Linked DNA regions of Drosophila melanogaster. The protein of the gene in region 1 purifies or fractionates together with the protein of each later gene. This does not show direct contact. Each region holds a gene or a part of one and is shown in the gene's direction. Other genes may lie near its edges.

Region 1 (3,884 bases):
TTGAGCACCTCTTAAGGGCAAACATTTATTCTTATCCTCCAGTCACATTAGTGCGAAGGCTAAGAGCAACCGTGATGGGTTTGCTTTGGAATTACGAATGGAAGTGGAGCAAAGCTGTGGGATTTAGAGTCATTTAACTTTACGGATCTTTAAGCGTCACTACTACTACCTAACTACCTTTCTTTCTATAGGACCATTTCATACCCTAGAAGACATCGTTTGCCTGTAGTATTGTTAAAATAAACGAATAACTAACTTTCATATACCAAATCTCAAGTAAAGAATGTTTTATGAAATGAATACACCTCTCTTAAGATATATGAATCCCAACATGTGTGAGAAAATTAACATAAAATACCGATAAGATTACATAAACATGCAAATCTTCCACTTCATCTTATAATATAGCATTATTGATCCCCGGCTGGCGACTCACCTTGATAATTTACAAATTCAGTTGGAACTGTTTGATTTATTCGAAAGGGTTTGCATATATCATTTTGAAAACGGCAAATTGCGATTATAATCGAAACAAAAGTGAGCAGAGGAAGAGAAGAAGAATAAGAGGAATGGCGATATTAGGGAGATAAAGTTGCACGCGAAAACCGGTTGCCGTTATTGTTTACACCAAATCGGAAACGAAGTTGTGGGGGCAGGCGCGAATATGAATGTTGTACGGAGGGGAAGAAGTGGAAACTGGGCGGAAAACGGAGAACGGGGAACGGGAAAGTGGGAATCAATAAAACAAACACACCACGAAAAACACATGGAAAGTGCAGCAAAACTATATGCCTTTCATTTCGGTTTAGTGCACAAATCGGCGAGTCCTGCTGCCACAAGAATGAATCATTCGAATCTTTTCGATTTTGTCGAAAGATATGATATGTGAGATAAATAATATGCTGATGCACAACCACACACACACTCGCACTCACGCTCACGCACACCCGCCCCCACACACACGAACGAACGAGGCTTCACTGTTTATGTTTATTAATATATTCCAGACACGCGGATCCATAGAAGAAAATCATACATATTCGAATTCACGGCGGCGACGACAGCAAAATGAAAAAAAATCGAAAACGAACCGAAAACTGAAAAGCAGAACACACGCGTTGGTCCTATTCGTTCCTTTGTTTTTGATATCGTATCGCGAGGGGCTAAGAACTATAACTATATCCGCATTATATAACCGCACTGGTAGATCCGGGCATGGCTGCACCGTGGGGCACGTAATTGCACCCGTCACTTACACTTTTCCTCGCCAGTCGCTTGGATCTCGCGTCCGAGTCGTTTGGGGATTTGTTTTTTAAAACGCGACGTTCGTTCCTCGGTTCTCGACGGCTATAAACAGTGTGGCCGCGCCGGGAGTGCAACTATAAGCCGATGGTGTGACCATGGCGGGAAAGTGGTATTATGCCGTGTGCCATATGGGCAAATATACCAAAACAATAAATAGCAATTCAAATAATTTAATATATAACATGTTTACTTAAAAACTAAGCTTTTTACCTAAATAAGTATAATAAAGATATAATAAAGTAAAATATTATTTTGTTATATATAATATTACCTGTGAAAAAATTTTAAAAACGTCAATTTGTTTTATACTTCTTTATTTCTTTCATTTATATAAAGAATTCCATGTTTAATTTATTCACATTGAAACATATTCAGCATAACAGTTTTGACCCACTGTAAACCTCCCTTTTCAATACTAATTCTAACGTCAACCATTGTTATCGATAACAGCTAATTTGCTGATCGCTCTCGTTCGCATAAAATAAACACTTTTCCGGCATTTTAAAATGGTAAGTAGATATTTAACGAACTGTGCCTTTTATACATCCCTTTTTTCCGCTAGTTTTCTGTCCTTCATAAAGAGGAAAATGCGCACGACAGTCAGCTATGGGCGTGCACCTGGGGACGCGACACTGCGGCCTCAGATCCGGATGACGCGGTCGTGGAGCCCGAGGAGAATCCCTTTGATTTCGATAAGAAGGAGGCCCGCCCGAAGGATTTCTTGGTCACCGGCGGACTGGATGACTTGGTAAAGGTGTGGGACTTGCAGGAGGACAACACCCTAAAGTTGCGCCACAAACTAAAAGGACATGCCCTGGGAGTTGTTTCTGTGGCCGTCAGTTCCGATGGACAGAGTAGGTTGAAAGATTCTGTACTTGGGAGATAGAGAAATGGACATCAATTAATGGTGCCGCCTTCCTTCCAGCCATTGCCAGTAGTTCTCTGGACTCCACCATGTGTTTGTGGGATGCCCGTTCGGGCGACAAGAAACACCTACTTAGCTTTGGGCCTGTTGATCTCTGGACGGTGCAATTTTCACCCTGCAACAAATATGTGATATCCGGACTGAACGACGGCAAAATCTCCATGTACAGTGTGGAAACCGGAAAGGCAGAGCAGACATTGGATGCCCAAAATGGGAAATACACGCTTAGCATTGCCTACGTAAGCTTTATCTGGTAAATAACCCATTTTGAGAATCCTATAGCTGTATTATTCTAGAGTCCCGATGGCAAGTACATTGCCAGTGGAGCCATCGATGGTATCATTACCATTTTCGATGTGGCCGCGGGCAAGGTAGTGCAAACATTGGAAGGACACGCGATGCCAGTGCGTAGCCTTTGCTTTTCTCCGAACTCGCAGCTGCTGCTCACTGCCTCAGATGATGGTCACATGAAGCTTTATGATGTGTAAGTGGCTTAACACCTATGACATTTTCAGGCACTACTATCTCCTCGTTTTAGAACCCACTCCGACGTTGTGGGCACCCTATCTGGGCACGCATCTTGGGTGCTGTGCGTGGCATTCTCCGAGGACGGCAAACACTTTGCCAGCTCCTCCAGTGATAACAGCGTGAAAATATGGGACACCTCGGAACGCAAGTGCCTGCACACGTTCGCCGAGCACACAGATCAGGTGTGGGGCGTCCGATATAGCCCCGGAAACGACAAGGTGGCCTCTGCTTCTGAGGACAAGTCCCTGAACATATACTACTGTCCGCCCAATGCCATTGTTTGATTTCATACAATAGAGCGTAGGTTTAAAACAAAGAACAAGAATGATTTATTTACGGATTACCCTCCGAGCTCGATTTAACCCGCAGAAGGGGCTGCGTGGCTTGAGTTAGCATCGTGTCTTTGTACTTCTGGTCGGGTATGTACATATTAAAAGTTTTAAAGTAGTGCAGTATGTTTTCTAAAAAGGGAAAAGTTAGACTGAGGTATTCTGAGAACACATTTTCTTTTAGGTTTACCAACTAGAGGCTCCTTAAGCTTGTACTCATTGGCTATCTTCTTGGCTGGCCAGGATTCAGGATCCAACTGGTGGTCATTGATGAACTTAAGCGCCTGGCGCAGTGTGCAATGACCGGGGCTAATGCGGTTGGGCTCCAGATATCCGTACTCAAAATCATCCGGCGTTTTGCGTTCCAGGGGCAGTGGTCGCTGTTCCACATTGTCCGCCGCCGCCTCAGCTGCCTGGCGCTCCTGCACTCGCTTGATCTAGGGAACATATAGCAGGTTCCATATTAGTATTGGTCGAAAGTACCTTCTAAGGTATTAACCCACAAATCGATCCTGCGAGGTTACATAAACGTCTTTCAATCGTCCGTCCAAGCTGGAGTCTTTCATATTGAGCTTGTCCACGAACTTGGGATCCACTGTAATGGGGAAAATGAAGCATTACACTCCAAGGGTGTTTAATTTTACTTACATTCCAAGGTGCGCTCCATGTCTCTCAAATTCGAGTCAAATTTGGGCGCCGGCGTTGGCTTCTCGCGCTCGAGGACGCGATGTGCACGATTCTCGACATTGAAGCGATTGGCCCGGCGGGCAACCATTGAAACCACCTGACCCATGCCA
Region 2 (6,224 bases), 1.0 Mb from region 1:
GTAGTGATCAGCACTGATAGTATGATTTATTTAATGAAAAAAGACGAAGTGCAAGAAAATAAACGAAAAGATACAAGAAATTGGCAGCTGTCGATGGGAAGACAGCTGAGAATTCCCCGGCTCTTCACATCGATCGCCGATAGCCGATCAATATACACATAATTAAGTAAAAACTGTAGCAAATGCCAATGTTTAATTAGAAAACACATATGCAAACGGGTCATGGGGAAAAGGCAGTGCTGTTCGAAGGAAAAGAAAAGGGAAAGGACTTCAGACAGGCCAAGGAAAATGAAGGAGCCGTTTGAGGAGCAGTTGTCGTGTTTCATATATATGTACATACATATGTATAAATACCCGAACTAATCCTGCGGACACAAAAGGGAATTCAGGAGAACAGAACCCAAAATTGCGCAAGCACTTGAGAAACAGAGCAATAGTGGAGGAGGTATTCCCATATGTATTCCCAGTCTGCAAGGATCGAGGGTATAGTGAATGTTTGTACATATTATATTGTGGAGAACAGAGTTTGAGGATATGGTTAAAATTACACGTTGACAACTATTCTAAGATACTACTAATAGAATTCTAATACTTCTTTGCAGACAAGATAGTATTATACATCTTCTACATAGCTTTAAAGAAGAAGGTCTTTGTAGATCTTAAAGATTCCCATACCGAGGGTTGCTTGCCGTCCATATACTCTCTTCAAAAAACCTGACTTATTCAGAGGAACTCCTCCATATTTTGAGGATACCTGCGACAGCAGTTGGCTTCATCCCGAAACTCCGATCAAGATCTAACAAAAGGGAACTAGAATGCATCCCATTTGCCAACTGCAACTTAAACTTCCACATCCACTTCCCATTTCCGCATCCTCGCGTGCGTACGCTAATCAAATATCAACATCGCCGAGGAATAACCGCCAATGCAACACATGCGGGGGAAACTGCGTTCCGTTAGAGAAATATACGTTCTGTTGGCCAAATGTTTGCCTTTTCAGGGGGTTTCGGCTTTCACGGTTTTCATATTGCAGTTTTTTCCCGCCCGTAAAATGGAAAACCTCCCTTGTCCCATGAAAAATGCGAGATCTGCGCTTGGAAGATATCTTTTCGGTTACTCCGATGCAAACAGGACATTTGGCAAGTCATAGAAAGAAGTTCCTGGCGGGTTTCCAGCCCACAGCATGTGTCTTTGTCTCAGGGTCAGGGAGTTACAACTCGGTGATCCTACCTGAACCGAGCGCCTATTGGGGTTTACTTATTCTCTCCTCCGCCTTTGTGCGATCCTTCGTCCTTCGTCTTGTGCCCGTTTTGTGAGAAATCATTGCCATAAACTCTATAATTTATTGTCCACAGCTGCATGGGCATCTTGGGTCTAATCGAAGCTGATACGATTCGATGGAGTCCCTGATGATGTGGATGTGTTAAGCAGGTAAGTGCAGTTCTGCAATCCCCGTAAAATACACCTGTAAGGATACGATGTCCATTGCGCCAAGCTTCGCGTCCTACAATCAGACTTATTTTCCTGAGCTGATTTTATGTCGGGATTTGTAGAAATCTTCTTTTTTAAATTTTTACCACCTTATTTTTTTTGACTTTTCGGTAGCCTAAGCTGCTTACTACTTTGATATCTCTATAGGCGGGCTCGGAATAATTGTTTAAGTGTACTTGCATGGGTTATACATCTTTTGCTTTTATGGTCAGTTCTTTGGGGATGACCTCTAATAAATAAAGTTTAATTTATTATCACAACGTTACACCAGTTTCTAAACGTTTAAACGTTTGTTTTGGTCTTTTTATTTCATATGGATAGAATGTGAATGGAAAAGCTTCAAAATCACACGAGCTTTTAAAATATTTTCAAGGAACCTAATAGGAAATATTTTGAAATCACAGATATCATATATTAGGTTTTAAATCCCAACAGAAATAATGTTATAGTTAAAATCAGGTTTTACACCTGTAAGATTAAAATCAAGTAACAAAAACTATCGACACTAACGCGAAACCAGCGAGTGTCATCGCTAAGGGGGATCAGCTGTTTGCCAACATGTGAGTGTGTGGGTGGTGGGAAGGTCACAAACCTATTGGAATGCCCATAGTTTTTTAATTCATATTCAAGCGGGGCTTATAACTGTAATACACTTTACTATAACTTTAGGATTCCATTTTAAATAGAAACTTTACCAACTTATGGCGATTCGGCTTATTTGTTGTAAGGTGACAGACAAGCTAAATCCTCCTTACGCGACATCCCATGTTAAATCAAGCCTTGTTTACTTACCTATTTTACCAGCCGACTGACCCATTGCTTAATTAAAATCACAAATTGCGTGTTTCGCTTCCCGAAAGGCACAAGAAACAACAGCCACAACAACTAGGACACACACAGCTTCTTTGGCATTGAATTTTCACGTAGACCAGCCCTCGCATAAGCTCGATATTATGTGCACCGTGAGCCGATCGTGTGCTATTGGCAGGCTAGCTCACTTCCGGAATCATAGGCGTTAAATGCGATGCATTTTAAAGCTTTGCCTAATTGTTATTTGGATGGAGCTGCCGGTCGCAAGGCTTTTTTTTAGTGTGACCGCGTTAGTATTTAAACATGACAGTCCAGCTTTGCCATCTGCCACACAAGAATATACCATACAATATTTATAAATAAACAAATCACTAGACGCGCTAGAAAAGTCATTTACTTCGTTTATTAATGATGCCAATTCCTGAAGATGTGAAGTGTTCTAAAGAGTTGTCGTTGTATAACGTGCCATTAAGAAAACTAATTGTTAACAAATCACAGGATACGAAAAGCCGTGACTTAGTGCGATATTTTTTAAAGACGAAACTTCAGCGATTTATACCAAATGAGAAGCGATGCACTCTCTATGATATTTGGTATTTTTCACCCCGCCTACGGTCACACTCCACGCAACCTCTGGCAAAAAACTAAAAATATGCCATAAAAAGCGAGAATCGAAGTTGTTTATATATCTTTCGCGGATTACAAAGTGCGTAGCCGCCGCGCGCCTTCCAGAGCGACACCGACCACACACGCCCGCCGCCCGAAAACACACAGAAAACCGGCAGAAAAATGGCAGATCCGCTCAGCCTGCTTCGGCAGTACAACATAAACAAAAAGGAGATTGTCGAGCGAGACAGCCAGATTATCTTCGGCGAGTTCTCCTGGCCGAAGAGCGTGAAGACCAACTATCTCAAATATGGGTAAGTGCGGTCAGGACGACCTGTGGGACAACTAGGATTAGCCACTAACTCTTACACTTTTCTCCCGTCGATTAGATCCGGTAAGAAGGGCGCTCCACGTGAGTACTACACGCTGGAGTGCCTGCTGTACCTGCTCAAGAATGTGATGCTGCAACACTCGGTCTACGTGCGACAGTGCGCCGCCGAGGATATACCCGCTGTGAATCGGCCGGATCGTAAAGAGCTCCTGGCCTATCTGAATGGCGAGACGCCAACGTGTGCCAGCATCGACAAGAGTGCCCCGCTGGAAATCCCCACTCAGGTGAAGCGTGCCGCCGAGGGTGAACCTTCCAGCGTTGAGGTGGCTGCCAAGAAGGCCCGCTTCGAGGAGACTCAAGTGCAGAAGGTGCGCGAGCAATTGGCCGCCCGATGGGATGTCAACCAGAAGGAGACCGCTGTCAACATGGACAACATCAAGTCGCTGTCCGAGACGATGTCCGTTGAGAAGATCGCCGCCATCAAGGCAAAGCGTCTGGCCAACAAGCGAACGACCATTAAAAGGACGGACAATGACGAGGCCATGGGAACTGATTTGCGTGCCATCCTGGACTATGATGTGGACTCCACAAAGGACATTATCAGCAGAGAACGGCAGTGGCGCACGCGAACTTCGATTCTGCAAAGCACGGGCAAGATCTTTGCCAAGAACATCTTTGCTATGCTTCAGGGCATCAAGGCGCGCGAGGAGGGACGCAATCGTCCACAGGTGCCCAATCCCATTAAGATGCCGGAGCCGGCTCGAATAGCCAAACCACAACCGCAGCTCTCGCAATACAACCGTTACGACCAGGAGCGCTTCAATCGGCAAAAGGAGGAGACCGAGGGCTTTAAGATCGACACGCTCGGCACATACCACGGTATGTCGCTGAAATCCGTGACGGAGGGCTCACTGGCTCAGCGTAAGGCGCAGGCTAACAACCTACCGGGAGCACCGGGTGTAATAGCGGGAGCAGCCGCCGGGCGGCCCAAGGAATTGCTACCTGCGGCCCAAGCTCGGCAACTGCCCGCCAATGGTCCATCGAAGCGAACATCTCGCACCCCCATTATTATCATACCGTCTGCCAACACAAGCCTCATTACCATGCTCAACGCGAAGGATATCCTGCAGGAACTGCGCTTCATGTCCACCTCGGATAAAAAGCTGCAGGGCTGCCAGCGCGAATGCGAAGTGCTGTTACAGGTGCGATTTAATGTAACGAATTCTCTTCCAAATGGTTTATATACCAAAAGGTTTTACAGCATTTGTTTCCGAAGATGTATTCAATTTCCTATTAAAATATTAAAGATAAGAGTTGGCATACACCAGTGCTAATTTATTTTCCCTTTTATTCACACATAGCGAAAACGCAACAATCAGACTGTGTCTTACCGGGTGATAGATAATCCCACCAAGCTCTCGCAACAGGAGTGGCAACGGGTGGTGGCCGTCTTCGTTATGGGACCCCAGTGGCAGTTCAAGGGCTGGCCTTGGGAAGGCAATCCCGTCGATATATTCTCAAAAAGTTAGTTAACATCATGCCCAGCTCTCTAAGTTTAATTCACTAAGTCTCATTTTCTTACCTACTGCAGTTTGCGCTTTTCATTTGTGCTTTAGCGAAATGAAATTGGACTCAAACGTGGAGCGCTGGTCAGTGACGCTACTCCGACTATCGCAAAACAAGCGTCATATGGATCGGGCAGTGCTCAGCAAATTTTGGGAAACTTTGGACAAGTAAGTGCTTATATAAAAATCCACCATTTCGTTACAAAAGATTTACAATGCAATCTTTTTAGATATATAGCCAAGTACAAGCCCGATTTACGATATTAACCCTCACCGCATTCTTAAACGTTCTGCTGAAACACGACACCTGCTGTTTTCAATCCCACTCCCAAGTAGTTACCATTATTATAGACAGGCTGTACTACATTATGCAACAAACGACGCAAATAGTATGTTACAGTGTGCGCCCAACTTCCGTAGGAAAGACACCAAGCCGAATCTGGGGCATTTGGCCAGTTCCAGTGCGAGTTTCCGATTAGAGCCCGACCAGGATTATCTCGCTTTTGGCAACAGCATTATAAGTCGCAGGCCTGCGATCGTGCAAATAGGCCCAAATACGCAGTTAGTAGTTAAGATAAAGTTTTTCGTTCAAATTGTACAATGTAAACTACAAAACACAAACATCTGAGAGCAAGTATCCTTTGTATTTTTAGTGATAATAAACAGTTAAAAGCCATTCTGTTTCGGTTATTCAAACAGAAGGTAACATAATTGGAATTTATTTGGCTGTCATCAAGTATATTTTCTCAATTATTTAACCTTTTCAAAGATCATATATTGGAACTTTTTCATACCTCCCATCGTTAAAGTCATAAATCAAACGAAATAGTAGTATTTCATTATTTCTGTTTATATAGCAAAATATGTGGGTTTATGTCATGTTAGCTTGTGGTCAGTAACTTTACTATCTAATATAGGTTTAGGGGATTAAATAAAAATACTATTTCTCGGCCAGCGAAGCACGATAGTTACTGGTGAATCTTCAGGAGGACTTGCGATCATCGAACTGCTTCCTGGCTGCCTTCAGCGTGTTGTGCATCAGCATGGCCACCGTCATGGGACCAACTCCGCCGGGCACAGGAGTGATGTGGCCGGCGACCTGGCGAACTTCTGCAAAGTGATGAGGAAATGAATCAATCTTGTTGGTCTTTAGTGATTTAATAGATCAGCCACACACCTTCAAAGTCCACGTCTCCGACCAGCTTAAACTGGCCAGTGCTCTCATCCTTGATGCGGTTGATGCCCACGTCGATGACACAGGCTCCGGGCTTAACCATGTCCTTGGTGATCAAACCCGGCTTTCCCACTGCGACCACAATGATATCCGCTTGGCGGCAATGGCGAGCCAGTTCCTTGGGCGGTGTATACCTGTGGCAGATGGTCACCGTGGCATCCATTGCCTTGGTGGCATACTTGCCATC

The links.
Region 2: the proteins of CG3909 (region 1) and hyx purify together in Drosophila melanogaster (affinity purification with mass spectrometry, with the first as the bait; one large-scale study listed by BioGRID). This does not show direct contact.

Annotation. Positions count from the first base shown.
Region 1 is NT_033777.3:10,041,536-10,045,419, forward strand, and holds CG3909 (uncharacterized protein), read left to right. Parts: upstream 1-1,734; 5' UTR 1,735-1,811; coding exon 1,812-1,814; intron 1,815-1,867; coding exon 1,868-2,159; intron 2,160-2,230; coding exon 2,231-2,469; intron 2,470-2,526; coding exon 2,527-2,714; intron 2,715-2,768; coding exon 2,769-3,042; 3' UTR 3,043-3,071; downstream 3,072-3,884. Other genes in the region: CG11722 (uncharacterized protein), read right to left, coding at 3,092-3,219, 3,278-3,524, 3,591-3,682, 3,736-3,880.
Region 2 is NT_033777.3:9,036,872-9,043,095, forward strand, and holds hyx (hyrax), read left to right. Parts: upstream 1-1,888; 5' UTR 1,889-2,051; intron 2,052-2,283; coding exon of another isoform or gene 2,284-2,308; exon of another isoform or gene 2,309-2,600; intron 2,601-2,799; 5' UTR 2,800-3,090; coding exon 3,091-3,221; intron 3,222-3,296; coding exon 3,297-4,440; intron 4,441-4,599; coding exon 4,600-4,762; intron 4,763-4,829; coding exon 4,830-4,971; intron 4,972-5,033; coding exon 5,034-5,070; 3' UTR 5,071-5,478; downstream 5,479-6,224. Other genes in the region: Nmdmc (NAD-dependent methylenetetrahydrofolate dehydrogenase), read right to left, coding at 5,786-5,913, 5,981-6,224.